2 linked regions of the Elephas maximus indicus genome follow. The protein of the gene in region 2 purifies or fractionates together with the protein of the main gene of each other region. This does not show direct contact. Links are inferred from orthologs where the notes say so. Each region holds a gene or a part of one and is shown on either strand. Other genes may lie near its edges.

Region 1 (16,217 bases), on a different chromosome or scaffold from region 2:
GATCAATTAATCAGTTGTGGTCATACCAGTGTAAACCAAAAAAGAACAATAAATACCATTGCGGTTGAGTCAATTTTGACTCATAGCGACCCTACAGTGACCCTATAGGACAGAGCAGAACTGCCCCGTAGGGTTTCCAAGGAGCGCCTGGTGGAATCGAACTGCTCACCTTTCAGTTAGCAGCCATAGCTCTTAACCACTATGCAACCAGGGTTTCCAAAGTGGGTCCTAAATCTAATCACTCCTGAGTTATAAAAAGACCAGAATAGACACAAAGAAATACACACAAGGGGAGAGAAAGCCACCAAGGAACATGGCTGCAGGGGGGCTATAGCAGCTGAAAGAAAAAAGGATCTTCCCTGTAAAAATGGAGAGGGAGCAGTTCTGACCTCCTCCTACCCCACAAGAGGGAAGGAGAAGCAAGATCAACAGCCCAAGCCTGATTTCTGTGAGGCAGAGGTCAAACATGCCTCCTCTCTCTGCCATCTTCACCAATTCTAACACCAACTGTCCGTCCCACAGCACTCTCTACTTTCCTATTGGGTTCAGTAGTTCACTGCAATGGCCACACAGAACTCACAGATCATACTCACAATTGTGGGGGTTATTAGGGAAGTAACAGTTATAATTCAGGCTCAAGAACACTCAGGATACAGTTCTTCCATCAGGACAGCCTCTTCCCAGTCATGTTCACAGGCACGCCTCTCCCTGGGCCTCAGTCTCTGCCCAAAGACACTCAGCTTTCTCTCTCTGTGGAAGCCCACCAAGCCTTCTCCTGCTGCTGGGTCTCTCCTGCCACCACTTCTCATCACCTTCGAGCTTACAGCTCATTATCTCCTGGGTCCAGGAGCTTCTCAGCACAGGGATCCCAGGTCTAAAGGACACGCTGGATCGTGCATGTTCTTCCTTGGTGGTACTAGGATTCTCTCTTTCCCGCCTCTAGGGTGGCTCATTTCAAGCCCAGCGGGATGGCAAAACTGACCAATCCCCTTGGTGGGCCACAACTACCCTATCACACAGTCCCACCCAATGGCCTGGGTGGGAGTTACAAGACCATGGCTAGAAAGGCCAGATGAAAAGCAATCCATTATACCACATTCCCCTACAGCCAACAGAGAGTCTCCCCCTAAGGCCATGCCTCAAATTTGGACTTCCAGCCTCTTGAACTGTGGGAAAAGGAATTTCTGTTCTTTAAAGCCACCCACCTGTAGTATTTGTGTTACAGCAGCACTAGGTTATTAAGACATGGACCATGATAGGTTCAGGTGAAATGAAAGTTTGGATGCTTCACAGCCCCAGAAAGCAGAAGGTGTTAGCATCATCATCACTAGGAAAAGCAAAGGGAGGTTGAGACACCATCAAACTTAATATCAACATGTCATTGACGAGTGTCTTTACTAATGATTTTGGTAACCCTTCTATATTAACACTAATCCATGCCTGAGTGCTTGGCGGTCACAGAGACCACCAGTGCAAACGAGCTGCAGCAATGTTCCATGCTAAAGACGTGTATAAACTGCATTCCCATTTGTACAGATTTAAAATTAGCATGAGCTTTGTCTTGGTTATCTAGTGCTGCCATAACAGAAATGCCAAAAGTGGATGGCTTTAACAAAGAAAAATTTATTTTCTCACAGTCCAGTAGGCTACAAGTCCAAATTCAGGGTATCCGCTCCAGGGGAAGGCTTTCTCTCTCTGTCGGCTCTGGAGGAAGGTCCTTGTCCTCAATCTTCCCCTGGTTGAGGAGCTTCTCAGGGGCAGGGACCCCATGTCCAAAGGATGCACTCTGCTCCTGGCACTGCTTTCTTGGTGGTATGAGTTCCCCAACTCTTTGCTTGCTTCCCTTTCATCTCTTGAGAAATAAAAGGTGGCAGGCCACACCCCAGGGAAACTCCCTTTACATTGGATCAGGGAGGTGACCTAAGTAAGGGTGGTGTTACAATCCCACCTTAATCCTTTTAACCACAGGCAGAGATTATGATTTATAAAACAGGAAAATCACAAAATGGAGGACAACTACACAGGGCCTAACCAAGTTAACACATATTTTGGGCAGAAACAATTCAATCCATTAAACTTCACCCTTTGGCCCCCAAAAACTCTTGTCTGGCAACATGCAAAGCATATTCATCCCCTCATATCATAGCAAATGTCTTAATTACAAGCCCAAAATCCAAAAATTCTTCCTCATCTGTGAAATCTAGAATACAAGTTATCTGCTTCCAAATGTACAATGGCAGAACAGGCACAAGCTAGATATTTCCATTACAAATGGGAGAACCTGGAGGGAAAGGAGGGATAACGGGCACCAAGCAAGTCAGCGGGACACATTACATTAGCTCTCAAGGCTTTGAAAATAATCCTCTGTTCTCTGAGACAATTTACACAATAGCCCTGCCCCCCAGCCTGTAGGTATTGACCACACTCTTCAGATTCTGAGTGGAGGCCCCTCGGCCCTGGGCTTCAGCTCCTCCTTCCAGGCCCACTGGGACAGCAACTCTGCTCCCTTGGCTTTAGGCACACCATTCTCCTAGTCCATCTGAATGGCAAGTCCACACTTAGAAACACCAGAGGCCATGGCTCCTGAGGTCATGGCCATATCTTTTGAGACTGAGGCAGCTCAGCTTCTTGTGTTGTCTTTTCAGCTTCTGCTTCCTGATTTCTTGACCTCGTGGCTCCTTGGGCCTCAGCTACATCTGCCCTGCTGGGGCAAGTGTTCCAAAGCTCAGTAGCTCCACCAGTAAGTGCCCAAGGCACCCCACTTGGCCAGGAAGCCTCCTGCACACAGGCATTCAGCTCTCTGGCTCCATGGGTCGGCAAGCCTAGCTCCACTAGTAAGTGTCCAGAGGATCCCCACTCTGCCAGGAAGCCTCCTGCACACAGGCACTCAGCTCTCTCACTCTGTGGGTTGCCTCCAGTGCTGTCTCGCACTTGTCTCTTGGTTCTGCTGCTGCTGGTTCTCTGCTGTTGCCACTTCTCTGCCACTGCAGGTTTTCTGCTGCACTGGTCCTCTGCCCCTGTCACAACTCTAACCATTCACAGTTTCAAAACTACTTCCACATTTTAGGTGTCTCTTAGAGCAGCACCCCACTCCTGGTACCAAATTCTGTCTTGGTTATCTACTGCTGCCATAACAGAAACACAGTGGATGGCTTTAATGAAGAGAAATTTATTTTCTCACAGTCTAGTATGTTACAAGTCCAAATTCAGGGTGTCGGCTCTAGGGGAAGGCTTTCTCTCTCTGTCGGCTCTGGAGGAAGGTCCTTGTCCTCAATCTTCCCCTGGTTAAGAAGATTCTCAGGTACAGGGATCCCATGTCCAAAGGATGCGCTCTGCTCCTGGCACTGCTTTCTTGGTGGTATGAGGTCCCCAACTCTTTGCTTGCTTTCCTTTCCTTTTATCTCTTGAGAAATAAAAGGTGGTGCAGGCCACACCCCAGGGAGACTCCCTTTACATTGGATCAGGAAGGTGACCTGAGTAAGGGTGGTGTTATAATCCCACCTTAATCCTTTTAACCACAGGCAGAGATTATAATTTATAACACATAGGAAAATCACAAAATGAAGGACAACCCCGCATGGTCTAACCAAAAAAAGTTAACACATATTCTGGGTGAACACAATTCAATCCATTACAAGCTTATCTATGAGTAATGTTTTAATTTTTTTTTTTTAAGTTATAGTTCCATATATTAACTTGAACTAGCTGGAATCTCAAACCTTTTGATTTATTTCTGAATACATGCATAAATGGAACTGAAGGGCTGTGAAAGCTACTGATTCACAAAATTGTGTTGGACCACTTTCCTGCCAAAAAGAAACCGCTGAAGGCAAGAGGTGGGGAGAGGGATCTTCCAGAGTCTCCATGCACCTTTGGAACACCAATGACTATAAAAGGAAGTGGGTTTTTTTGATTGTGCAACCTACTTTTGCAGGAGGCTTATTTATTTTTAATGAAACACACCCTTCCCCTTTTCTGTATTGTGGTAAAGTATACATAGGAGGCATCTTCTTAAGACATCAAATCAAGATCTCTCTCAGTGATACAAAGGGAGGCCAGCCCTGGGTGGAGATTCTAACACATGCTCGGGTCACGTGACAGGGTCGACAAAGGACATAAATGGACCAGTGAGCTTCCAGGGCCTTCGGAACCAGAGTGTTCATTTCTCTCCATCTGATCTCAACCTTGCAGGTGACTGTCTCAGATCAGGCCCTTCCCTCCTCCTTTCAAGCACGTACTATGTGCAGACCCCAGGTCTAGCATTTTGGGCTGGATGGACGAAGCTGCACTCTCATGGAGCTTCCATTCTCCTAGTGAATGCACAGACCCCCAGTCTAGCATTTTGGGCTGGACGGACGAAGCTGCACTCTCATGGAGCTTCCACTTTCCTAGTGAATGCACACTATAAACATGTAACAAATTGTGATGCAACTTTGGTTGCTGCTATGAAGCAAATGTTGGCTGAAGAAACAGCCCAACTAACTTCATCCCAAATCACAGCTCAGCAAATGGCAGGTGAGACCAAAACTGAAGTTTCCTGGCTCTTGTTTTCTCTTCTCTGACATCGGCTAACCTCTACCCTGCACTCAGAAGAGGGTTATGGTCCTCTACATCCAAGGGGACCAGTCACCCAAAGCTTGTGATAAAGTTAAATCCTTCAAGCCTCAAGATGCCTATCTCCTTACCTGCAAATGAAAGCTGAGGCACTAACTGAACGCCACCCTTTCCCAGCACAGCTTACCTTAGTAAGGACTTCTGAGTGAGGAGTTTGAGTGCCTATTCCAGGCATCACTGCTTCAGGTGCTGGCCCTACAGAACATCCCTGCCCTCCCTAACCTTACTGCCAGCTGAGGGCAGACCACAGGCAGCGACTCAAAATCCTTTTTGGCTAGCTCTTATAAATCAGACCCCCGGTCTCTGTGCTGGAACAGCAAGTCCCTCGTGTATTTATTAAGCAGGTTTACTAGTACAGTTGAGTTTTCAGAGAGCAAGGACCCAGCATAAAAAGGACGGGTAAATTGGACGTGTGGTCTTGGGCTTAAAGCCATCAAATTGCAAAGAACCAAGGAGCCTCAATTCGATGGACAAAATTATTTGCAATAAATAATAATAACACCACTTAGGGAATGCCTTAGTAGGGTTTTTTTTTTTTTTTTTTTTTTTAATAAACGGCTAACAGGTGAGGAAAACGACGAACGGGATTTCAATAATTGGCCCAAGTTCACACACAGCTAGGAAATTGCAACCCTCGGATTCCGACTCAGGTTTCTGAGATGGTAAAGAAGTTGAGTGGATTTGGGGTACTTCAGGCACACACACTGGATATGCAAAGAATGAGAACCACACTACACACGACCACGCGGCGACTGATGGACGCTGACAGTCCACCAAGATAACGCCGCCGGAAAGTGGGAACTGACGCTTACACCCTGCCCCCAAGGCGAAAAAAAGGCAACCCCAGTATTCTTAAAATAACTCTCGCTTCCTCTCCGCGCAGGCACCGGCTGCTCCTCCGCGGGGCGCAAGGCGCCTGGCTCACGGGGAGGGTGCGCGCCGGCCCCGCGGCAGCCCCTCGACGTCACGTTTCTGCCCGGGGCCACCGAAAGGGCAGCTGCGCGAAGGGCCCCACCCCTCACCTCGGACGACCCCAGGGCCCTGAGCCACCGGATCCCTGCTGGGGGCCCGCTCAGCGCGCAAAGGGGCTTCCCCGCCGCACTCAGGGAGCGACCAGGGGGCGTCCATCCGCACGCCTCGCACCTCCCACCCCGCCCCTGCGCCGCCCGCCGCGAGACACCTGCAGAGCCGCCCGCCCCCGCGACCCGGCTCTCAGGCCCGCTCACCCTCGGGCTGAAGGCGCCAGGGCGTCCCTGTCTTCCAGGGCGGGGTCGGTGGAGCAGGGACCCGGCGCGCCCCCCAGCCCGCGGCCGGCCCGCTCGCTCTCACTACTCACCCGCTCGCGATGGAAGTTGGGGGGCGGCGGCCGAGCTCCACGGTGACTTCAGATCCAAGCAAGGGGCCCGACGGGGCGGTCGGATCCGGCCAGCGTGGGGGCGGCGGCGAAGGCGCGGGCTGGGCCGAGGGGCGCGGGCCGCCGCTGTCGCGGGCTGGGAGCTGCAGCGCGTTTGGCCCGGGGCGCCACGGCCGGGAGCTAGCTGCGGCGCGGGCCGGCGCGGCGGAGAGGAACTGGCGGTCGCTGGGCTCGGCCGGGAGTTCCCAGCTACTTCCTGGTGCTCGGATTTGCATACTGCGCCCAGAGGGCGGGGAAGTGACCGTTTGGCCCCTGCCCATAGCTCGGGGCTTCGGTGTGGCCATCGCGCAGAGCTTTGAAAGAAAGGAAACCTGGCGTCCCCGTGGGTGGCAGGGGAGATAAGAGCAGCCTCAGGTCCAACATCCTCTTATAGAGACGGACCAAAGGATCTTCCAGGAGATTCTCTGAAAATCCAAGCACATGCTCGAAACTTCTATCGTCTCCTTCCTTTCCTCCAACCTACTTCCCCAAATGTTAGGAGATGGGGTGCTGCTGGGAGCAGAGGGAGCGAGCTCTCTCTAGAGAGGAATAGATATAATGAGTAGATGCTCAGAGTCTCCCTGAGTCAATAACTCAACACAGAGCAAGCTCCTTAAGGTGTAGGCAGTGATGTTCAGGGTATTGATTGGGGGGCCCAAGGAGTGGTGGGAAGGAGAGGAGTGCGGGGGCAAGGGGGCTGTAGAGTTGAACGGACAGGAAATTTTCTCAGGTCCTCAAATCCTCAATTTCCTCACAGGAAAACAGACACGAATGGCATATTGGGAGAATAAGCCAGCCTTCTGTGAAGGGCTGAAACTGTGTCTAGCATATGATGATGGTAGTGTTTCCTTCTTAGCGTCCCTAGCCTCCCACACACATCAGGTGCCTCAGTGTTTGCTGTAATAATGACTACCTCTCTGAGCTCAGGCTCCAACTCAGTAAATGCCGTTTACAAATCCACAATCAATGATCGCTTATTCTAAGGACTCCATTCATTAGAATTCCAGTTTTGCACTACATTGTAAAAACTACAAGGAAATAAATTACACACTGTTAGTAGATGTGCTCTTTGCATTAATAATATCCAACACTTACATAGGGCCTAGTGGGCTTCAGAAGGAGCCCTGGTGGAGCAGAGGTTAAGCACTCGGCTGTTAACCAAAAGTTCAGCAGTTTGGACTTGCCAGCAGCTCTGCAGAAGAAAGATGCGGCAGTCTGCTTCCTTAAGGATTGTTTTTGAGGCAGGGCCAAGATGGCAGGGTAGCCGGATGCTTACAGTGATCCTCTTACAACAAAGACACAAAGACCCCCCCCCAAAACAAGTGAAATGATTATGGCAAGCTAGGAGCTCCGAACATCAAAGGCAAAGTTAGAAAACAGACTGAGTGGCAGGGGGCAGGAGACATAGTTGAGAAGCTGCTAGGGTTGCCAGACCTGAACCTCCGGGAACCCTCAGGCACCATTCCCTGTAGCGACCGTGGCAAGCTGGTGCAGTAGCATTCCTGACGTGGTTTCCTCAGGGAGAGACAGCAAGCCACACAGCTTACTCACACCTCCAGAACCAGAGAAGAATGGGTGCTTTTGGCAAAGCTAAGTGTTTGTGTTTATTTTACCACACACACCCGCCCCTCCACCTCCCAGCCCCCAAGCTGGCTTCAGTGGCTGTCGATTTCTCTGGGCCTGAGATAGGTTCTGCTGTGCACTCTGATCCGTTCTCCCAGTCTTGGAGAAGGAATAAATTAGCAGATGGGGGAAAAGATAATCCGCCAGCTACACTAAGCTGGGAAGCTCAGGACAGGAGCAGCTCTTGTTCAGGCACAAATGCTCCACAGACTTTGAATACTTTTCACCTCTGCACGGACCTGTGTGGGCCCATTTCAGAAGAACAGGCCCTTGTTGTCAGACTGCAACTGCTTCAGCTGTGTGGCAGAGAGGTGGGTGTTTGATGTTTGACACTGCTTTGCCTATTAAATGGGGTCCTCACCTACCCACATTGGTGGCCTAAGGACTGGTGGTTACACCCACATCACCTAGCCACCCACAAAAGGGGTCCAAGGATAAGAGGTACCTCCCAGTCTTTACAACCAAAAGCTGGGTACCCATGGTCCTAGTGCAGAACCCACCCAACCATGCACTCTAAGGAACAGGCATGCACTTTCCTCACAGACACCCAGGGAACAGTTGTCAGCCCCGTGCCTTGTTCAGAATGTGACCCTCTATGCAAACAGATATCTGTACCTACATCAATCACCCCTGCACCTCTAAGACTTTAGGACAGAGCCCGTACTACACCCTTGATGACCGACTACTGGACACCTGAGCTGAATCCATATAAGAAAAAGGAATGGACTCCTAGATTCATACACCGGGTAACATCTCTAGCCATCTGGTGACAGGACGCTAGAGCTTCAAAGGTGAAAATAAGCTAGCTCACTCAAGCAGTCTGTTAGGACATATCAAAATAAAACTAAGCAAGAAGCTAGGATACGCTAAGCAAACATAAACTAATACAATAACTTATAGATGGCTTGCAGACAACAGTCAATATCAAATCACATAAAGAAGTAGACCAGATCACTTCAACAAGCTCTCAAAACAAGGAATCTTGTGAATGAAGGTGTCTTCCAGGAATTACCAGATACAGAATACAAAAGATTAATATATACAACTCTTGAAGACATCAGGAATTAGATCAGGAAAAATGGAGAACAGGCCAAGGAACACAAAAATAAAGCAGGTTATTCAAGAACATAATGAAAACTTTAATAAGCTGCAAGAATCCACAGAGAACCAGCATTCAGAAATTCAGAAGATTAACAATACACTTACAAATTAGACAACTCAATAGAAAGTCAGAGGAACAGAATTGAGGAATTAGAAGACTGAAGAAAAAACACTTGGCACCAATACATTCAAAGAAAAATCAGATAACAGAATTTTTAAAAAATGAAGAAATCCCATGAATCATGTGGGACTCTATCAAGAGAAATAACCTACGAGTGATTGGAGTACCACAACAGGGAAGGATAACACGAAATACAGAGAGAATTGTTAAAGATTTGTTGGCAGAAAACTTCCCTGATATCATGAAAGATGAGAAGATATTTATCCAAGATGCTCATCAAACTCCACATAAGATAGATTTCGAAAGAAAGTCACCAAGGCATATTATAATCAAACTTGCCAAAACCAAACATGAAGAGAGAATTTAAGAGTGGCTGGGGTAAACAAAAAGCCATTTACAAAAGAGAGTCAATAAGAATAAGCTCGGACTACTCGGCAGAAACCATGCAGGCAAGAAGGTAATGGGTTGACTTATATAAAGCACTGAAGGAAAAAAATTGCCAGCAAAGAATCATATATCCAACAAAACTGTCTCTCAAATATAAAAGCAAAATTAGGACATTTCCAGATAAACAGAAGCTTACAGAATTCGTGAAAACCAAACCAAAACTACAAGAGATACTAAAGGGAGTTCTCTGGTTAAAAAATCAGTAATATCAAATATCAACCCAAGACTAGAACACAGGACAGAGCAACCAGATATCAACTCAGATAGGGAAATCACAAAAATAAATCAAGATTAAAAAACACTCAAAACAGGGAAACAGCAATGTTACTATGTAAAAGAAGACAACATTCAAACAATAAAGAAGGACTAAGAAATATTTTTTTTTTAAGAAATATAGTCATAGATCTTTCATATGGAGAGGAAGTCCAGGTGATATAAAGAAAGAAAAGTTAGGTTTAAAGTTAGAAAAATAGGGGTAAATTTTAAGGTAACCACAAAGGAGACTAACAAACCTACACATCAAAATAAAATACAAGAAAAAAATAAAGACTTAACAAAAACAAAATCAACAACAACAAATAAGAGGAAAAGAAAATAAATATTCAGCACAAAAAATTAAGTGGGAAAAAGAAACTGTTAACAACACACACAAAAAAAGACATCAAAATGACAGCACTAAACTCATTAAAAAAAAAGTTTTTTTAAAAACTCATACCTATCAATAATTACACTGAATGTAAATGGACTTAATGCACCAATAAAGAGAAAGAGAGTGGAAGAATGGATTTAAAAAAACATGATCTGTCTATATGCTGCCTGCAAGAGATACACCTTAAACTTAGAGTCATAAACAAACTGAAACTCAGAGAATGAAAAAATACATATCAAGCAAACAACAATCAAAAAAGACCAGGAGGGGCAATATTAATTTCTGACGAAATAGACTTTAACATTAAATCCACCACAAAGTACAAGGAAGGACATTATATAATGATTAAAGGGACAATCTACCAGAAGAATATAACCATATTAAATATTTTTGCACCCAGTGATAGAGCTGCAAGATAAAAAAACTCTAACAGCAGTGGAAAGTGAGATAGACAGCTCCGCAACTACAGTAAGAGACTTCAACACACAACTTTCAGTGAAGGAGAGACCATCCAGAAAGAAACTCAATAAAGACACAAAAGATCTAAATGCCACAATCAACCAACCTGACCTCATAGACATGTATAGAACGCTCCACCCGACAGCAGCCAGTATACTTTGTTCTCCAGTGCACATGGAACATTCTCTAGGATAGACCACATATTAGGTCATAAAGCAAGTCTTAACAGAAACCAAACCATCAAAATATTACAAAGCATCTTCTCTGACCATAAAGCCATAAAGTAGAAATCAATAACAGAAAAAGTACGGAAAAGAAAACAAAAACTTGGAAACTGAACAATACCCTGCTCAAAAATGACTGGGTTAGAGAAGAAATTAAGGATGTAATAAAGAAATTCATAGAATCCAATGAGAATAAAAACACTTCCTATCAGAACCTTTGGGACACAGCTAAAGCAGTGCTCAGAGGTCAGTTTACATCAATAAATGCACACACGTGAAAAGAAAGGGCCCAAATCAAAGACTTATTTCTACAACTTGAACAAATAGAAAGAGAGCAACAAAAGAAACCCACAGGCACCAGAAGAAAACAAATAATAAAAATTAGAGGAGAATTAAATGAAATAGAAAAAAAAATTAAAAGAGTTAAGACCAAAAGGTGGTTCTTTGAAAAAATTAACAAAATCGATAAACCTTTGGACAAACTGACAAAAGAAAAACGGGAGAAGAAGCAAATAATCCGAATAAGAAATGAGATGGGTGATATCACAACAGACCCAACTAAAATTAAAAGAATCACATTGGATTACTACAAAAAATTGTACTCTAACAAATTTGAAAACCTAGAAGAAATGGATGAATTCCTAGAAACACACTACCTACCTAAACTAACACAAAACAGAGGTAGAAAAACTAAATAAACCCATGCCAAAAGAAGAGATTGAAAAGCTCATTAAAAATCTCCCAACAAGAAGGACAATACTCAATACACGGAAGGTCAGCTCAACTGGACTACACCAAAAGCAAAGAAGTTTCCGGGATAAAATGAATGCTTCAAAGGTCAGCGGAGCAAGGGCGGGGGTTTGGGGACTATGGCTTAAGGGGACTTCTAAGTCAATTGGCAAAATAATTCTATTATGAAAACATTCTGCTTCCCACTTTGAAATGTGGCGTCTGGGGTCTTAAATGCTAACAAGCGGCCATCTAAGATGCATCAATTGGTCTCAACCCACCTGGATCAAAGGAGAATGAAGAACACCAAGGTCACACGACAACTAAGAGCGCAAGAGACAGAAAGGGCCACATGAACCAGAGACTTACATCATCCTGAGACCAGAAGAACTAGATGGTGCCCAGCCACAACCGATGACTGCCGTGACAGGGAGCACAACAGAGAACCCCTAACGGAGCAGGAGATCAGTGGGCTGCAGACCCCAAATTCTCATAAAAAGACCAGACTTAATGGTCTGACTGAGACTAGAGGAATCCCGGTGGTCATGGTCCCCAAAACTGCTGTTGGCCCAGGACAGGAACCATTCCCAAAGACAACTCATCAGACATGGAAGGGACTGGACAATGGGTAGGAGAGAGAAGCTAATGAAGAGTGAGCTACTTGTATCAGGTGGACACTTGAGACTGTGTTGGCATCTCCTGTCTGGAGGGGAGATAGGAGGGTAGAGAGGGTTAGAAAATGGCAAAATTGTCACAAAAGGAGAGACTGGAAGGGCTGACTCATTAGAGGGAGAGAAAATGGGAGTATGGAGTAAGGTGTATATAAGCTTATATGTGACAGACTGACTGGATTTGTAAACGTTCACTTAAAGCTCAATAAAAATTATTTTAAAAAAAGACAGAAAAAAACAATATCTCCCACCAAAAAAAAAAGCCCTGGCCTGGACAGCTTCACTGGATAGTTCTCCCAAACTTTCAGAGAAGAATTAACACCACTACTACTAAAGGTATTTCAGAGCATAGAAAGGGATGGAATACTCCCAAATGCATTCTATGAATCCAGCATATCCCTGATACCAAAACCAGGTAATGACACCACAAAAAAAGAAAATTACAGACCTATATTCCTCATGAACATAGGTGTAAAAATCCTCAACAAAATTCTAGCCAGTAGACTTCAACAACATATCAAAAAATAATTCGCCATGACCAAGTGGGATTCACACAGGTATGCAGGGATGGTTCAACATTAGGAATACAATTAATGTAATCCATCATATAAATACAACAAAAGACAAGAAACACATGATCTTATCAATTGATTCAGTAAAGGCATTTGACAAAGTCCCATGCATGATAAAAATTCTCAGCAAGATAGGAATAGAAGGAAAATTCCTCAACACAATAAAGGGCATTTATACAAAGCCAACAGCCAACATCGTCCTAAATGGAGAGATTCTGAAAACATTCCCCTTGAGAACAGGAACCAGACAAGGATGCCCTTTATCACCATTCTTATTCAACACTGAACTGGAGGTCCTAGCCGGAGCAATTAGGCTAGATAAAGAAATAAACCCACCAAAAAACCAAATCCACTGCTGTCGAGTCAATTCCAACTCGTAGCGACCCTACAGGACAGAGTAGAACTGCACCATAGAGTTTCCAAGGAGCGCCTGGTGGATTCAAACTTCCGACCTCTTAGTTAGCAGCTGTAGCAGTTAACCACTATGCCACCAGGGTTTCCAGATAAAGAAATAGAGGGCACCCAAATTGGTAAGGAAGAAGTAAAAATAGTCCTATTTTCAGATGACATGATCTTACACACAGAAAACCCTAAAGAATCCTCAAGAAAACTACTGAAACTAATAGAAGAGTTCAGCAGAGTATCAAGATACAAGACAAACATACAAAAATCACTTGGATTCGTCTACACCAACAAAAAGAACATCGAAGAGGAAACCACCAAATCAATACCATTTACAGTAGCCTCCAAGAAGATAATATACTTTGGAATAAATCTTACCAGAGACATAAAAGACCTATACAAAGAAAATTACAAGACACTACTGCAAGAAACCAAAATAGGCCTATGTAAGTGGAAAAATATAACTTGCTTATGAATAGGGAGACTCAACATTGTAAAAATGTCTATTCTACCAAAAGCGACCTATAGATACAATGCAATTCTGATCAAATTCCAATGACATTTTTTAATCAGATGAAACAAATCGCCAAGTTCACATGGAAGGGAAAGAGGCCCCAGACAAGTAAAGCATTACTGAAAAAGAAGAACAAAGTGAGGGGCCTCACACTACCTGATTTTAGAACCTATTATACTACCACAGTAGTCAAAACAGCCTGGTACTGGTACAATAACAGACACATAGACGAATGGAACAGAATTGAGAATCCGTACATAAATCCATCCACCTATGAGCAGCTGATATTTGACAAAGGCTCAAAGTCTGTTAAATGGGGAAAAGACAGTCTCTTTAACAAATGGTGCTGGCATAACTGTATATCCGTTTGCAAAAAAATGAAACAAAACCCATGCCTCACACCATGCACAAAAACTAACTCAAAATGGATCAAAGAACTAAATATAAAATCTAAAATAATAAAGATCATGGAAGAAAAAACAGGGACAATGCTGCGAGCAAATTGGTATACAAAACGTTATTAACAATGCACAAATACTAGAAGAGAAACTAGATAACTGGGAGCTCCTAAAAATCAAACATCCAAAGACTTCGCCAAAACAGTAAAAAGATTACCTACAGACTGGGAAAAAGTTTTTAGCTACGACATTTTTGTTCAGCATCTTATCTCTAATGATATTGCAAAAACTCAACAAAAAGTCAAATAACCCAATTAAAAATGGGCAAAGGATATGAACAGACACTTCACTAAAGAAGACATTCAAGTAGTTAACAGATACATGAGGAAATGCTCATGATCATTACCCATTAGAGAAATGCAAATCAAAACTGCAATGAGATTTCATCTCACTCCAACAAGGCTGGCATTCATCAAAAAAACACAAAATAATAAATGTTGGAGAGGTTGTGGAGAGACTGGAACACTTATACACTGCTGGTGGGAATGTAAATGGTACAACAACTTTGGAAATCAATTTGGCGCTGCCTTCAAAAGCTAGAAATAGAACTATCATATGATCCAACAATTCTACTCCTTGGAATACATCTTAGAGAAATAAGAGCCTTTACGTGAACAGATATATGCATGCCCATGTTCATTGCAGCATTGTTTACAATAGCAAAGAAATGGAAGCAACCAAGGTGCCTATCAAGGCATGAATGGGTAAATAAATTATGATATATCCACACAATGGAATACTACACATCCATAAAGAACAATCATGAATCCGTGAAACATTTCATAACATGGAGTAGTCTGAAAGGTATTATGCTGAGTGAAATTACTCAGCAGCAAGAGGACAAACATTGCATGAGACCATTATTATAAGATCTCAGGAAATAGTTTAAACAGAGAAGAAAATATTCTTTGATGGTTATGAGAGTGGGGGAAGAGGGAGGGAGAGGGCTATTCACTAATTAGATAGTAGATAAGAACTATTTTCGGTAAAGGGAAAGACAACACACAGTGCAGGAGAGTCAGCACAACTGGACTAAAGCAAAAGCAAAGAATATTCCTGAATAAACGGAATGCTTCAAAGGCCAGAGTAGCAGAGGCGGGGGTTTGGGGATCGTGGTTTCAGGGACCTCTAAGTCAATTGGCATAATAAAATCTATTAAGAAAACATTCTGCATCCCACTTTCGAGAGTCTAAAAAAAAACAACAAAAAAAAAAACTAGTGCCATCGAGAGGATGCAACAATTGGTCTGAACCCACTTGGAGCAAAGGAGAATGAAGAATACTAAAGACAGGTAATTATGAGCCCAAGAGACAGAAAGGGCCACAAAAATCAGAGACTACATCAGCCTGAGACCAGAAGAACTAGACGGTGCCCGGCTACAACTGATGACTGCCCTAACAGGGAACACAACAGAGAATCACTGATGGAGTAGGAGAGCAGTGGGATGCAGACCTCAAATTCTAGTAAAAAGACCACACTTAATGGTCTGACTCAGACTAGAAGGACCCCGTAGGCCATGGTGCCCAGACCTTCTCTTAGCCCAATACCAGAACCATTCCCAAAGCCAACTCTTCATACAGGGATTGGACTGGAATATAAGCTAGGAAATGATACTGGTGAGGAGAGTGCTTCTTGGCTCAAGGAGAAACTATGTGGGCAGCTCCTGTCTGGAGGGGAGATGAGAATGCATTGGGGGACAGAAGCTGGCTGAATGGACACAGGAATACAGAGTGGAGAGAAGGAGCGTGCTGTCTCATTAGGGGGAAAGCAGCTGGGAGTATATAGCAAGGTGTATATAAATTTTTGTATGAGAGACTGACTTGATTTGTAAACTTTCACTTAAAACACAATAAAAATAAAAAGATGGTTGTCGTTTCCTGCTTGGAATATATCTTAGAGAAATAGGAGCCTTTACACGAACAGATATATGCATGCCCAAACTTACAGAGATCCAATATACAACAGAATGAAACACTGCCGGGTCCTGTGCCATCCTCACAATTGTTGTTATGTTTGACCTCATTGTTGCAACCACTGTGTCAATCCATCTCGTCAAGGGCCTTCTTCTCTTTCGCTGACACTCTCTACCAAGTGTAATGGCCTTCTCTAGACACTCGTCTCTCCTGATAGCGTGTCCAAAGTATGTGAGACGTAATCTCACCAGGTTTGCTTCTAAGGGGCATTCTGGACATACTTCCAAAACAGATTTGTTACTTCTTCTGGCGGTCCATGGTATATTC
Region 2 (16,761 bases):
GCTAGAATCCCTAAGGAACTACATTTCATGTGGGACAGATATTCAGCTCCCTTTCTGGACATAAGACTACTCTCTTGTCCTGGGTTATTGGAAAATAAGAAAAGTGGTTTTTTTTGGTCCTTGTGATCCCTGTACAGCAATAAAGTGTGAATGGGTGAATTTCACCCTGGCTCCATCATGTCTTCTCTCAGGTCAGACCATGAGAATGGTGGAGTAGGATGTGGCTCCCTAGCAATAACATGTTCCATTCTCTTCCAGGAGCCCTGGTGGGGTAGTTGTTAAGAGCTCAGCTGCTAACCAAAAGGTCAGCAGTTCAAATTCACCAGCTGCTCCTTGGAAACCCAATGGGGGCAGTTCTACTCTGACCTATAGCTTCACTATGAGTCAGAAATGACTCGATGGCAAAGGATTTTTTTGAGTTTTATTCTCTTCCAGGAGTCTTCAAGGGCATACCCTATCTGACTGCTCATCCAGGCCCCCGTGTGACCCTAGGAGGGAATGTGACCCTCCTTTGTCACTCAGATCATCACTATGACAGCCTCCATCTGTACAAAGATGGAAGAAAAGCCTTGGGCTATTTCCATCAGGACCGTAACACCTTCCTCATCTCCCCTGTGACTCTGACCAATGAAGGGATCTACACATGCTATGGTTCTTCTAGACAAAACCCTCTCCTCTGGTCACTGCCCAGCAAACCCCTTGACCTTGTGGTCACAGGTAAGTGCAGATCTGTCACTTTTGCTCTGTGCTCAAGAAGTCCCATAAAGTTTTTAAAGTGGTATCTTAGTTATCTAGTGCTGCTATAACAGAAATACCACAAATGGATGGTTTGAATAAACAGAAATTTATTTTCTCACAGTTTAGGAAGCTAGAAGTCCAAATTCAGAGCGCCTGCTCTAGGGGAAGGTTTTCTTTTTCTGTAGGTCCTTGTCTCTTTAGCTTCTGCTTCCTGCTTCCGTGGAGGTCTCCATGTGTCTTGGTATCTCTTTCCCCATCTCTGCTCACTCTCTTGCTTATCTAATCTCTTCTATATCTCAAAAGAGATTAACTCAACACACACCTTATACTAATCCTGTCTCATTAACATAATAAAGACAACCCATTCCCATATGGGAGTATAACCTCAGGCATAGAGGTTAGGATTTACAACACATATTTTGGGAGGACATAATTCAATCCATAACAACAGGTGGAGAATTTCAATTCTACTGTCTGTTTTTGTTGATTGTGATCTGCATAAGATGCCCCTTCTAAGGTCCCTTCATTTAATTTATAGGCCCTGAGGATTTATATATTTGTTATGACAATTTTTTGGCAGTTGTAAGTAAATTGTTTTGGGAATGTCTTTTACCCATCCATATGAAAAACCAAAAAACTAAACCCATTGGCATCCAGTCTATTCTGACTCATAGTGACCCTATAGGACAGAGTAGGACTGCTTCATAGGGTTTCCAAGGAGCGCTTGATGGATTTGAACTGCTGACCTTTTGGTTAGCAGCTGAACTCTTAGCCACTATGCCACCAGGGTTTCCATCCATATGAAAGTGCTATATAAACTCGTTGCAGCCCTTGGGAATCAGACTGGGGTGTAGGTCTACCACTTAGTGTGTGGGTGTGTCATCATCCTTAACACCCTCCTCAGGCAGGTCCATCTCTATATAAGAGGTTGACAACAAGTGCTGTCACTAACTAGAAGTGATAAAAAGTGAAAAGGGGGACCATGCTAGTTTCTTCATTCAAGATACTAAGACAATGGAGAAAGCAGTAAGACATTTATAGAACATCCAAGGTGAAATTATGGTTGAGGTCCCCCAAGGTTATGCTGGGAGGAGGCATTGCCAAGTTCTTTGTGGGTGGGTCTGTTGAGTTCTAGAAGACATAGCTTTCCTAGTTAGCTGCATCTTGTCAGGGGTTCAAGGGAGGATACTGTATCCAGGCACAGAAAAATGTGGAACAGAAGCACAGAGCTGTGAGGCAAGCCTGTCTGATGTTTTCTGGGAATTATAGGTAATTACTTTGTGGGAGAATGTAGGAGCTAGGGCTGGAAAGATGGCAACAAGGAGGCAGGAGCTTGAAAAGGAAATGACAGGGATAGAGTGGAGAAGGTGATGGCACATAAGTGGACAAGTTTGTGTATTTGTATGATCAGCTGACAGGCAGCAACACTAGGTAGACTAAAGATGATCTGTTTCAGTTGTCCAGTATCTGCTGATGGTTCCTAAATTTAGAATCACCATAAACAAATACTTCCATGAGTTTCAGAGTTATATGTCCACTTAGACACCCGATAAGCGTCTCAAATAAGCTCTTGCTTGACAAATCTCTAAACCTCTCATACAGGTCGCCTCATCTCAGTAGATGCCATCTCCATCATCCCAATGATCAAGCCAGGTCCCTGAGAATAATCATTTAAGCTCCTCTTTTGCTCTCAATTCCCACATACTCTACCACCAATTCTCAAATCTCATTATTTCCATGCTGAAAAGAAATTTCAAACCCAATCCCTTCTCTCCTCCATCAACATCACATTGTTATACCATGATCACTTGTCACCTAGCTGCCTGTAACAGGTTCCCTGTCTCTCTACTTTCCATCTTGCCTACTAAATTAATTTACCTAGCAGTAACTGCAGTGATTTTTTTTTTCCTCCCAAAACACATAGCTCGTTGCTTGCCAATTCCTTCAGGGTCATAATTGCACATAGAATAAAACCGGACTCTTCTCTACAGCTTCTAAAATTCTTCAGGCTCTGACTCTTGCTGACCTCTTAGATCTCTACATGTAAGGATACGTTTACATATTGGATTACGTCCCTAGACTCTGTTGTTGGGTAGGTTCACTAGTGTCCCAAACATCCAATAACTTGCCTGGTATATGGTAGGTGCTCAATCAATGTTTATTGAATGAATACAACAGGTGCTTAATAACAGATATTTACCATTTTGTAATTCCTAGATCCATATGGTCTTGAGCAAGGATACAGTCACGTTGTGATTGGGGTCTCGGCTGCCGTTGTCTTTATTTTCCTCTTCCTCCTCCTCTTTCTTCTTTGCCGTTGGTATCATGCCAAACACAGTATGTCCTGGAGATGGAAGGGTTAACCTGGGAGAAGTGGGAGGTGGGCTTGGTGGATTCCTCCCAGGACTCTGATCACTAATTCTCTGTAGGAGCTATTGATGGTGAGACCAAGAACCAAGTCAAGTATAACAGGTAGGAAAAGTTGGACTTCTCCAATAATAAAACCTGCTTCTGTCTTATTTCTCAGACCCCCTCTAATGTTCCTGTCTCCTTTCCCTCAGCTCCAGCCCATCTCTGGATGTCCAGGAAGAAAATCAATGTAAGGGGGAGAAAGGGGACCTGGGGTGAGGAAATGAGGTGGCGGGGGAGCCTGGAAGCATTCAGGAAGAGGGCAGAGAAAGTGGGGTTGCCACCTTGCTGTATGATGTCCCTGCCCTTGTCTGGATTTTAGTCACACCATCTCTGAAATATGGCTGGGAGCACTAAATGTTTCTGAAGGCCCTCAAAGAAGGTCCAACTCCTTATTTTCCTTTCAGATGCTACCATTAAGGACATCCAACCTGAGGAGTATGAACAGATGGATACGCAGGTAAGTATTTCCTTACCTATATCCTCTCCTTCCTTAGTCTTCTCCCCTAGTGCTCTCTTTCACGTCGTATCTCCATGCTGACAGGTCCGCAAAGCAGAAGACCCCAAAGAAGTGACATATGCTGTGTTGCAACAGGAAAACCTTATGAGGAGTGTGGATGTCCCGTCCTCCTGCACCCTCAGGGATGCCTCTCAACAGCCCTGTGTGTATGCCACCCTCACCTTGCCCTGAGCCCAGAGCTGGGACTGGCTATGTGGATGCTAGGGTTCAAATGCCCTTTAAGCTCCACGTGGCATACTACTCATATTCCCTCAACACTAGCCATCAACTTGGAGCTTCCAAAGAAGAAAGTACAAAGAAGCCATGTCAATCGTTAAGAGATTCTGGAACCCGTCAAATATTTTTCATATGATTCCAGATTCTTCACTTGCTTGCTTGTTCAGCAAATGTTTACAGAAGCCAGCTCTTTCCTTGGACCGTTGCTGGTGCTATCCAGATTAGTAAGACACAGTTTCTAGTATCAGAGAGCTCAAAGTCTACTGAGAGAGGAAAGCTACATGATCTGGCCCTTACAAAGCAATGCAGGAGTGACCTGCAGGAGCAGGTAGAGGAATGCTTTGGGTTCTTTGAGTAGGGACAACTTTCCAGGCATATTTAAGAAGTATCATCTGCTCATGGAATACAGATTTTCTGGAGCCAAGGAGGCTGGATGAACCGAAGGAACTATTACCGTGAGATAATCTTTAAAACTTAAACCAAAAATATCCTCTGAAATCTTCTTAAAACCAAACAATACCTTAACTAGTAAAGAATGTATGCCTTGAGTGTTGTGGTTGAAGTTTTTATTGCATGGGTGGATATAATTTTCAAAAGTTAATGAAATGAACTCTCAATATCTGTGCATTATATTGTATGTAAATCATGCCCAAATAAAATATTGCTTTTAAATAAAAAAACTATATGGGATCAAATTGACAGCAGCAATTCAAAAGATTAGATGGGAGCCTTAGGGGGGCAGTGAGTCCATGTTAATGGAGAAAGAACAATTTGGAAAAGGAAGGTGAGAATGGTTGCACAACTTGAAGAATGTAATCAATATTGCTGAATTGTATTTGTAGAAGTTGTTGAGATGGTACATGTTCTGCTGTGTATATTCTCAACAATGACAACAAATAAAATAAACTATAAAAAAAAGAGGTGCCATCTGGCACCAGATACAAGAAGTCAAGAAGAAATAAGAGTCATATTGGTTGCTGTTGGTATTTTACTCCAAAGTTCTAGGACCTGCTGAGAGCTGAATCCTTCAGAAGAGTGAAGAGTGAAAGAGGAAGGGCTCTTCGTGAAGTCACTATATTGCAAAACAAAATGAAATTCTCTCTTTCCTTCCCTCACTTTCACATGCCCTTTCTCCCTCTACACACACACACACACACACACACGCACACACCATATAAAAAAGTTCAAACCAATCTGACAACAAGGAATTGCTCTTGGAGAGAGAGATGGTGCAGAGGGTATGTGAAGAGGAATTGATGATTTTCCTCCAGTTTTGATGATATTCTCTTCTTAATTGTGCAATTAAAATAAACAGAACATAATGAAAAAGAGATGTGTATGAGAGAAGAACTGGAGTACATATGAAAAATAACTCTTTCAATAAGTTTTGATGAAAGAAATTGGAGAAGAAAGCTAATGTTAGAACAGGGAGAAGTAGTTTTGGCAGGGAAGGGGTAGATTTTTTTTTATGCATGTGTGTTGGTTGATAGAAATAAATGAGGTGGGATAGTAATGTAGTTAATACTGGGGAGGGAAAGATGATTGACACTTGGTGGAATGGCATATTAGATAAGAGTTCAGGTTCTGCAATGAATGGGTTTAATCTGGGTTCAAATCCTTCTTCTGCCATCCACAAGTCCATGAATATGTACACAAGATAATATTGCATCTCAGCACCTTGCTCTTTTCCCTCAAGGCGCTTATCAAAATTTCTGTGTATTCGGCATTAACAGGCTACAAACCATAACCAACAACACACACGCTCCAAAAGATAAGCTAGATAACTGGGATCTTCTAAAAATTAAACACTTATGCTCATCGAAAGACTTCACCAAAAGAGTAAAAAGAGAACCTACAGACTGGGAAAAAAATTTTGGCTATTACAAATCAGACAAAGGTCTAATCTCTAAAATCTACAGAAAAGTCCAACACCTCTACAACTAAAATACAAATAATCCAGTTAAAAAATTGGGTAAAGGAAATGAACAGACACTTCACCAAAGAAGACATTCAGGTGGCTAATAGACACACGAGGAAATGCTCACAATAACTAGCCATTAGAGAAATGCGAATCAAAACCACAATGAGATACCATCTCACCCCGGCATTACTGGCACAAATCAAAAAACCAGAAAATAACAAATGTTAGAGAGGCTGTGGGGAGGTTGGAACTCTTATGCACTGTTGGTGGGAATGCAAAATGATACAAGCATTTTGGAAAACCGTATGGTGCTTCCTTAGAAAGCTAGAAATACCATATGATCCAGCAGTCCCACTCCTAGGAATATATCCTAGAGAAATAAGAGTCATCACACAAATAGACATATGCACACCCATGTTCATTGCAGCATTGTTCACAATACCAGAAACAGATGGAAACGACCTAGATGTCCATCAACAGATGAATGGATAATCAAACCGTGGTACATACACACATAGAGTGTTATGCAAAAATAAAGAACAATGATGCATCTTCGAAGCATCGCATAACCTGAATGAATCTGGAGGGATTATGCTGAGCGAAATAAGTCAATAAATAAGTCATAAAAGGACAAATATTATATGAGACCACTGCTGTAAAAACTTATGAAAAGCTTTACACACAAAAAGAAACATTTGATGGTTACGAGGTAGGGGAGGGGTGGGGATGGAAAAACACTAAACAGACAATAGATAATAGGTAACTTTGGTGAAGGGTAAGACGGCAGACAATACTGGGGAAGCCAGTACAACTTGCCCAAGGCAAGGTCATGGAAGCTCCATAAACACATCCAAGCTCCCTGAGGGACTGAATTTCTGCGCTGAGAGCTGCGGGGACCATGGTCTCAGGGAACATCTAGCTCAATTGGCGTAACACAGTTTATAAAGAACATGTTCTACATTCTACCTTGTTGAGTAGCATCTGGGGCCTTAAAAGCCTGTGAGTGGCCATCTAGGATACTCCACTCGTCTCACCCCTTTGGGAGCAAGGGAGAATAAAGAAAACTAAAGATACAAAGGGAAAGATTCATCCAAAGGACTAATGGACCACAACTACCATGGCCTCCACCAGACTGAGTCCAGTACAACTAGATGGTGCCTGGCTACCATCACTGACTGCTTTGACAGGGATAACAATAGAGGGTCCCGGACAGAGCTGGAGAAAAATGTAGAACAAAATTCTAACTCACAAAAAAAGACCAGACTTACTGGTCTGACAAAGACTAGAGAAATCCTGAGAGTATCGCTCCCAGACACTCTTTTAGCTCAGTAATGAAGTCACTCCTGAAGTTCACCCTTCAGCCAAAGATTAGCCCCATAAAACAAAACGAGACTAAAGGGCACACAAGCCCAGGGGCAAGGACAAGAAGGCAGGAGGGGACAGGAAAGCTGGTAATAGAGAACCCAAGGTCAAGAAGGGAGAGTGTTGACATGTTGTGGGATTGGCAACCAATGTCATAAAACAATATGTGTACTAAATGTATAACTAGAAGATAGTTTGTTCTGTAAACCTTCATCTAAAGTACAAAAAAAAAAAATTCCTTGTATTTTAATTCCTCATTTGTTAAATTGAATTTTGCTTAGGATAGAAGACTCACGAGGGCAGGGACCCTGTGTCTTTCTCACTGCTGCGTCTGGCACCATTCATTATCTCTTCAGTATTCTTCTTTGCCATTAGAGTGTGAATTAGCTTAGAGGAGCAACACTTTAAGTTTCTTCCGAGCCAATCAACAATCCCAGAATTTCTTGCAGCTAGGTATGGCCGTAAGGTTGGTTTTGGTGAGTTCTAAGTGGTCACCTGCTGGGTGAATTCTGGGAAAGATTTTGTATTCATAATAAAGGGGACAGATGTGGTTAGCATAAGCCTCTGCCCCATCTTCCTACTTTGAACATGGATACAATGCCTGGGTCTAGGCATCCAGCTTGTGATGTTGAGGAGAAAGCCAAGAGGATGACAGAGAACCCAACTCTGCCATCATTGGGCCACCACACCAATGCCTTCATTACATTCTATTTTGTGAGAAAAACAGAATGAATTGTCTAATAATTGTTACTATTTTTTCATTATATGCAGTTAAAAGCATTTGGAATTGATAATATGGCTAATGTCAAGGGCATTCCACAATATTTGAAAGGAAGTAGGTATTCAAATATGTTTGTTGAATTAGTCAGTGGCTTAGGGAGGGTGTGACAGTCAATTTTGTGTGTCAACTTTGCTAGGTTATGATTCTCAGTGGTTTGGCCAGATACTGGGCTGGTTGCTGTTCCGTAATGTAACATAATACAATGTAATGTGGTGTGGTGTGGTGTGGTGTGGTGTAATGTAATGCAACATAATGTAATCATCTTCCATGAGGTGATTTGATGTGACAAACCAGTCAGTTGAAAGGGGAGTTTCCTTGGCAGTGTGGCCTGCCTCTGGTATATAAATGGATATTCTGGCAGAGCTTGCTCTCTCTTTTTGAACCATGTACTCTTTGCATTGCCTGATTTATGGATTGTGGGATATAAGCCTGCAGAAATCTCTGGCCTGTCACCTGACCTATGGATTTTGGACCTGCCAGCCCCACAGTTGCATGAGCCAATCCCTTGAAGTAAATCTCTCTCTGTATACACACACACACACACACGCACATACATGTCTCACTGGTTTTGCTCCTCTAGAAGAACAGGTGATGTCAGGGAGTTTATGGAAATATCAGAACATGGGCAATGTCTCTCAATGAGAAATGAATGGTGTGACTCCAGGCTGGTGAAAGGAGTTAAGTGAGACTCCTTCGGGCTTGTGTGCGAGTCATTCTACCGAGGAAATGGTCCAGCTTGATTAGCCTGAACTAGGAAAAGCCAGGGCTGATGGAGGGGAGGGAGGAGCATATCCTTCATCTTCAACACATCCTGTCTCTGCTCTAGGCCCCCACCACCTCCTTCCCGGGGCCACAGAACTCAGGACGGGACTGAGGAACCATGTCTCCATTCCTGTCCGCCCTCTTCTGCCTTGGTGAGTCCTCAGGGTGGATCTGGGAGAAGCGGAGGGGATAGGCACAGGGCCACCAGATGAAGACTCCTAAAATTCCAGGACAAAAGGGGACCTATGAGAGCCCCTTCATTGGTTGGGTGGGAAAACTTGGATCCAGGGAGATTATGTGTTTTGTCTAAATTATATTAGTTTATTCATGGTTGAGTCAGGAAACGAACACAGGTCTCCTTGTTTGGGCTGCAATGTTATTCCATTATACCATGGTTGCTTTTATAGATATATATGTATGCATATGACTATGAGATCAGGGCTAGACTGTAGGTTTAATTTGCCAATGTTCCTTATAATAGCAAGGGAGCAAATAATAATCTGTCACAAGGAGGGATTGGATGTATTTTTTACTGCCTGATCTTTATCAGGCTTTGTGCCAGGTGTGTTGTAGACGTTGTTTATGTTTTCAGAAGAACTTTACTGCTGAAGGGATAGGGTTCCAGCAGGCTAAGCAGGAAGGAAGCAGTTGTGTCACTGGAGTTAATAGGGCAGACTCTAATTAATCGATCAATCAATTAATCAGTCAACACGAGCTTACTATGCATGGGCCAAGAAGCCTGGGTAGTGCAAGTGGTTTGTGATTGGCTGCTAACATAAAGGTTGGTGGTTCGAACCCACGGAGTGACTCCATGGAAGAAAGTCCTGGTGATCTGCTTCCATAGAGAATACAACCAAGAGAACCCTGTGGAGCAGCTGTACTCTGTCTGTGACACATACGGTTGTCATGAGTCAGAGTCAACTCGATGGCACGGGGTTTGGTTTTGGTGTTGGATGATGGGTCACGTATTCTTCTTTTTTTTTTTTTTTCTTAACAGATACTAATGCATTTAATCCCCATGACAGCCCTGTGAGGTAGGGTCTATTATCCCCATTTCACACATGAGGAAACTGAGGCCAAGAAGGGTAAAGTAAGTAACTTGTTCAAGGCCACACAGCTAGGGATTGGATTCAAACTAAGAAATTTTGGTACCAAATCCATGTTCTTTACCGCTAAAATATGCTGCCCATGTTTGAATTGAGCTCCTTCCAACTGCAGGATGTTGGACAAGATACTAATGCTTTCGGTGTTTTAATAGCTTGGTATAGAAAATGGTACTAATAATGGTACCTACCCAGTAGATACTATGAGTCAGAATCGACTCGACGGCACTGGCTTTGGGTGACCCAATAAATTATGACGAGGATTCAGAGTCCATATGCAGAAAGTGTTCAAAATGGCTCTTGGGTTATTTCCAGTCATGTTTTTTTTAGAGGGTTGCATGAGAATTGTTAGGTTTATAATAGAACGATAATAATCTTTATCTTCATGTGTGTGTGTCTCTGTGTGCAAAAATTAGGGTTACCACATATCCACAGAGGATTCAGTTAAATTTTAATTTCAGATAAACAACAAATAATTTTTTGTGTAAGTATATCCCAACTATTTCATGGGACATATTTATACTAAAAATTGTTGTTGTTTATCTGAAATAAAAATTAACTGGAAAGCTGGCATTTTTATTTGCAAAATTTGACAATTCTAGTAAGATTGAAATAGAAAATACTATCAACTCAGGAGAAAGGCAAAAAAGATGTCTTAGCTTCCACAATTTCGTGGAAAAGCTATTGAAAATTGTGGAAAGAATTAACAATAAGTTCAAGGAAAACTAAAAAAAAACCACAAAGGAAAACTATACAGATGGAAATAAACCAGGCATTCATCAATTAAAACAAAAAAACCACACTCGTTGCCGTCGAGTTGATTCTGACTCATACCAACTCTTCAGGAGAGAGCAGACAGTAAAACTCCATAGGGTTTCCAAGGAGTGGCTGGTGGATTTGAACTGCTGACCTTTTGGTTAGCAGCCAAACTCTTAACCAAGTGCCACCAGGGCTCCTATTGATTCCAGGGAAAACACATAGGAAAAATATATAAGCACAGCGTTATAATGCTCAGATGTGAACGATATTTGCATAGTCATAACAATGTAATCACAGAATATTGATTTAACAAAAAAAGTATAAAACAGTAGGAAACCTGTGAGTAACACACCCTGAGATATCTTGACTTATGATATAATGCAAGAGACCTCATCCTGGACAAAGCCCCCTTCTCAAAGAGGAAGTTTTTTTTTTGTTTAAATTGTGTTTTAATTGAAAGTTTACAATTCAAGTCAGTCTCTCATACAAAAAACTTATATACACCTTGCTATGTAACCCTGGAAACCCTGGTGACGTAGTGGTTAAGTGCTATGGCTGCTAACCAAAAGATCAGCAGTTCGAATCCACCAGGTGCTCCTTGGAAACTCTACGGGGCAGCTCTACTCTGTCCTATAGGGGCGCTATGAGTTGGAATCGACTCGATGGCAATGAGTTTTTTGGTTTATGTAACTTTTTTAGCTACTCTCCCCCTAATGTGATGGCACATTCCTCCTCTCTACCCTGTATTCCCCGTGTCCATTCAACCAGCTCCTGTCCCCCTCTGCCTTCTCATCTCACCTCCAGGCAGAAGCTGCCCACATAGTCTTACATGTCTACTTGAGCCAAGAAGTTCACTCCTCACCAGTATCATTTTCTGTCCTACAGTCCAGTCCAATCCCTGTCTGAAGAGTTGGCTTCGAGAATGGTTCCAGACTTGGGCTAATGGAGGGTCCGGGGTCGCTCCAATATCAGTCAGACCATTAAGTCTAGTCTTTTTATGAGAATTTGAGGTCTGCATCCCACTGTTCTCCTGCTCGATCAGGGATTCTCTGTTGTGTTCCCTGTCAGGGCAGTCATCAGTGGTAGCCGGGCACCATCTAATTCTTCCCATCTCAGGCTGATGGAGTCTCTAGTTCATGTGGCCCTTTCTGTCTCTTGGGCTCATATTTACCTACGTCTTTGGTGTTCTTCATTCTTCCTTGCTCCAGGTGGATTGAGACCAATTGATGGCATCTTAGATGGCCGCTTGCTAGCATTTAAGACCCCAGATGCCACTCACCAAAGTAGCATACAGAATGTTTTCTTAATATATTTTGTTATGCCAATTGACCTAGATGTCCTCTGAAACCGTAGTTCCCAGACCCCCGTCCCTGCTACTCTGGCCTTGGAAGCATTTGGTTGTATTCAGGAAACTTCTTAACTTTTGGTTTGGTCCAGTTGTGCTGACCTCACTTGTATTGTGTGCTGTCTTTCCCTTCACCTAAAATATTACTTGTCTACTATCTAATTAGTAGACAAATAGTATTACTTGTCTACTATCTAATCGGAAACCCTAACCAAAAGGTCGGCAATTCGAATCCACCAGGCGCTCCTTGGAAACTCAATGGGGCAGTTCTACTCTGTCCTATAGGGTCGCTATGAGTCGGAATTGACTCGATGGCACTGGGTGGGTTTTACTATCTAATTAGTGAATACCCCTCTCCCTCTGTCCTCATCCTCATAACCATCAAAGAATATTTTCTTCAATATATAATATAAACTTTTTCTTCAGTTCTTATAATAGTGGTCTCATACAATATTTGTCCTTTTGCAACTGATTAATTTCACTCAGCATAATGCCTTCCAGATTCCTCCATGTTATGAGATGTTTCACGGATGCATCATTGTTCTTAATTGTTGCATTGTATTTCATCACGTGAACATACCATAATTTATTTATCGATTCATCTGTTGATGGGCCCCTTCATTGCTTCCATCTTTTTGCTATTGTAAACAGTGCTGCAATGAACACGGATGTGTGCATATATCTATTTGTGTCGCGGCTCTTATTTCTCTAGGATATATTCCAAGCAATAGTATTGCTGGATCATATGGTAGTTCTATTTCTAGCTTTTTAATGAAGCACCAAATCAATTTCCAAAGTGGTACCATTTTACATTCCCACCAGCAGTGTATTAAGTGTTCCAGTCTCTCCACAACCTCTCCAACATTTATTATTTTGTGTTTTTTGGATTAATGCCAGCCTTGTTGGGGTGAGATGGTATCTCAAGGTAGTTTTGCTTTGCATTTCTCTAATGGCTAATGATCGTGAGCATTTCCTCACGTATCTGTCAGCTGCCCAAATTGTCTTTGTTGAAGTGCCTGTTCATATCCTTTGCCCATTTTTAAATTGGGTTATTTGCCTTTTTGTTGTTGAGTTTTTGCAGTATCATATAGATTTTAGAGATGAGATGCTGATCAGATTTGTCATAGACAAAAACTTTTTCTGAGTCTGTAGGTAATCTTTTTACTCTTTTGGTGAAGTCTTTAGATGAGCATAAGTGTTTGATTTTTAGGAGCTCCCAGTTATCTAATTTCCTTCTGGTGTTTGTGCATTGTTAGTAATGTTTTGTATACTGTTTATGCCATGTATTAGGGCTCCTAGTGTTGTCCCTATTTTTTCTTCCATGATCTTTATCATTTTAGATTTTATATTTAGGTCTTTGATCCATTTTCAGTTAGTTTTTGTGGATGGTGTTAGGTATGGGCCTTGTTTCATTTTTTTGCAGGTGGATATCCAGTTATGCCAGCACCATTTGTTAAACAGACTGTCTTTTCCCCATTTAACAGACTTTGGACCTTTGTCAAATATCAGCTGCTTGTATGTGGATGGATTTATGTCTGGATTCTCAATTCTGTTCCTTTGGGCTATGTATCTGTTGTTGTACCAATACCAGGCTGTTTTGACTACTGTGGCGGTGTAAGTTCTAAAAACAGGTAGTGTGAGGCCTCCCACTTTGTTCTTCTTTTTCAGTAATGCTTTACTTCTCTGGGGCCTCTCCCCTTTCCATATGAAGTTGGTGATTTGTTTCTTCATCTCATTAAAAAATGCCATTGGAATTTGGATCAGGATTGCATTGTATCTATAGATTGCTTTGGGTAGAATAGACATTTTCACAATGTTGAGTCTTCCTATCCATGAGCAAGGTATGTTTTTCCACTTATGTAGGTCTCTTTTGGTTTCTTGCAGTAGTGTCTTGTAGTTTTCTTTGTATAAGTCTTTTACATCTCTGGTAAGATTTATTCCTAAGTATTTTATCTTCATGTGGGCTATTGTAAATGGTATTTTTTTTAGTGATTTCCTTTTTGAAATTCTCTTTGTTGGTGTAGATGAATCCAACTGATTTTTGTATGTTTATCTTGTATCTTGATACTCTGCTGAAGTCTTCTATTAGTTTCAGTAGTTTTCTTGTGGGTTCTTTAGGGTTTTCTTTGTATAAGATCATGTCATCTGCAAATAGAGATACTTTTACTTCTTCCTTACCAATCTGGATGCCCTTTATTTATCTAACAAAATTGCTCTGACTGGAAACCCTGGTGGCATAGTGGTTAAGTGCTACAGCTGCTAATGAAAGGGTCGGCAGTTTAAATCTGCTAGGCGCTGCTTGGAAACTCTATCGGGCAGTACTACTCTGTCCTATAGGGTCGCTACGAGTTGGAATCGACTCGATGGCACTGGGTTTGGTTTTGATTTTTAATGGCTCTGACTAGGACCTCCAGCACATTGTTGAATAAGAGCAGTGATAAAGGGCATTCTTGTCTGGTTCCTGTTCTCAAGGGGAATGCTTTCAGACTCTCTCCATTTAGGATGATGTTGGCTGTTGGCTTTGTATTAAAAAAAAAAAAATTTTTTTTTTTAGATGCCCTTTATTATGTTAAGGCATTTCCCTTCTATTCGTATTTTGCTGAGAGTTTTTATCACAAATGCGTGTTGGGCTTTGTCAAAGGCTTCCTGCATCAATTGATAATATCATGCGGTTCTTGTCTTTTGTTTTATTTATATGATGGATTACATTGATTGTTTTTCTAATGTTAAACCATCCCTGCATAACTGGTATGAATCCCACTTGGTCATGGTGACTTATTTTTTTGATATGTTGTTGAATTCTATTGGCTACAATTTTGTTGAGAATTTTTGCATCTAAGTTCATGAGGGATATAGGTCGGTAATTTTCTTTTTTTGTGGTGTCTTTACCTGGTTTTGGTATCAGAGATATGCTGGCTTCATAGAATGATTTTGGGAGTGTTCCATCCTTTTCTATGCTATGAAGTATGTTTAGCAATAGTGGTGTTAACTCTTCTCTGGAAGTTTGGTAGAATTCTCCAGTAAAGGCATCAGGACCAGGGCTTTTTTTTTGTTGGGAGTTTTTAAATTACCTTTTCAATTTCTTCTTTTGTTATGGGTTTATTTAGTTGTTCTACCTCTGTGTTAGTTTAGGTAGGTAGTGTGTTTCTAGAAATTTTTCCGTTTCCTCTAGGTTTTCAAATTTGTTAGAGTACAATTTTTCATAGTAATCTGATATGATTCTTTTAATTTCAGTTGGGTCTGTTGTGATATCAGCCATTTCATTTCTTATTTGGGTTATTTACTTCTTCTCCTGTTTTTCTTTGGCCAGTGGTTTATCGATTTTGTTGATCTTTTCAAAGAACAAGCTTTTGGTCTTGTTAACTCTTTCAATTGTTTTTCTGTTCTTTATTTCATTTAATTCTGCTTTAATTTTCATTATTTGCTTTCTTCTGGTGCCCGAGGGTTTCTTTTGTTTTTCTCTTTCTATGTGTTGAAGTTGTAGAGATAGTTCTTTGATTTTGGCCCTTTCTTCTTTTTGGGTGTGTGCCTTTATTGCTATAAATTGACCTCTAAGCACTGCTTTAGCTGTGTCCCATAGGTTCTGGTAGGAAGTGTTTTCTTTCTCATTGCATTCTATGAATTTCTTGATTTCTTCTATAACTCAGTAGTTTTTGAGCAAGGTGTTGCTCAGTTTCCATGTGTTTGATTTCTTTTCCCTGCTTTTTCTGGTATCGATTTCTACTTTTATAGCTTTAGGGTCAGAGAAGATGCTTTGTAACATTTTGATGCTTTGGATCCTGTTAAGTCTTGCTTTGTGACCTAATTTTCAATGCTGTTAAAGTCTGTTTTGTGTATCTTGAAGCCCTCTCATTGGATACATAAATATTTTTTATGGTTATATCCTCCTGGTATACTGACCCTTTAATCATTATACAGTGTTCTTCCTTATCCTTTAGTGGTGGATTTAACTTTAAAGTCTATTTTGTCCCAAATTAATATTTCCACTTCTGCTCTTTTTTTGATTGTTGTTTGCATGACGTATTTCTTCCACCCTTTGAGTTTTACTTTGCTTGTGTCTTTAAGTCTAAGGTTTGTCTCTTGTAAGCAGCGTATGGGCAGATTGTGTTTTTATCCATTCTGCCACTCTTCAAAGAGGAAGTTATTGTTATTATTTTTTAAATTGTGCAGCAGAGTTAGGTCTGATAATTGACTTCCTGTGGTCATTGGGGGATTTTCTCAGTTCATTTATGATCAGTTGAGGGTAGATTTTGCTGTCTTTATTGGCGTAATTTTTGTGACCATATAGGCTACTGAAAAGTATTTACTTTCCACTGACCTGACCATATATTTTCTTTATAAATTTTGGGGCCCAATGATGGCACAATGGTTAGGCACTTGGCTTCCAACCGAAAAGTCAGTGGTTCGAACCCACCAGTGGCTGCTTGGAAGAAAAGATCTGGTGATCTGCTCCTCCTATAAAGATTACCTTTTACCTTTAAGTTGATTCTGACTCATAGCGACCCTATAGGACAGAGCAGAACTGCCCCACAGGGTTTCCAAGGAGCACTTGGTGGATTTGGTTAGCAGCTGTAGCTCCTAACCACTATGCCACCAGAGTTTCCCCATAAAGATTACAGTTTAGGAAACACTAAGATTCAGTTCTACTCTGCCCTACAAGTTCACTGTGATTTGAAATCAACTTGATTGCAGACAAAAACGACGTATTTATTACACATGCAATAATACCGATGCATACCACAACATAGATGAACCTTGAAAACATCATGCTGAGAAAAATAAATCAGTTGCAAAAGGACAAACACTGTATGATCTTACTTATGTGAAGTAAACCAATATATAGAA

What was found.
Region 1: the proteins of GP6 (region 2) and LYN purify together in Homo sapiens (affinity purification with western blotting; 5 studies listed by BioGRID and IntAct, with this or other methods). This does not show direct contact. The link is inferred for Elephas maximus indicus from reciprocal best matches to the Homo sapiens genes GP6 and LYN.

The regions. Positions count from the first base shown.
Region 1 is NC_064837.1:77,115,587-77,131,803, forward strand, and holds the start of LYN (tyrosine-protein kinase Lyn), read right to left. Parts: upstream 6,034-16,217; 5' UTR 5,951-6,033; intron 1-5,950. UniProt on the Homo sapiens protein: Non-receptor tyrosine-protein kinase that transmits signals from cell surface receptors and plays an important role in the regulation of innate and adaptive immune responses, hematopoiesis, responses to growth factors and cytokines, integrin signaling, but also responses to DNA damage and genotoxic agents.
Region 2 is NC_064829.1:92,075,071-92,091,831, forward strand, and holds the start of GP6 (platelet glycoprotein VI), read left to right. Parts: upstream 1-8,790; 5' UTR 8,791-8,827; coding exon 8,828-8,861; intron 8,862-16,761.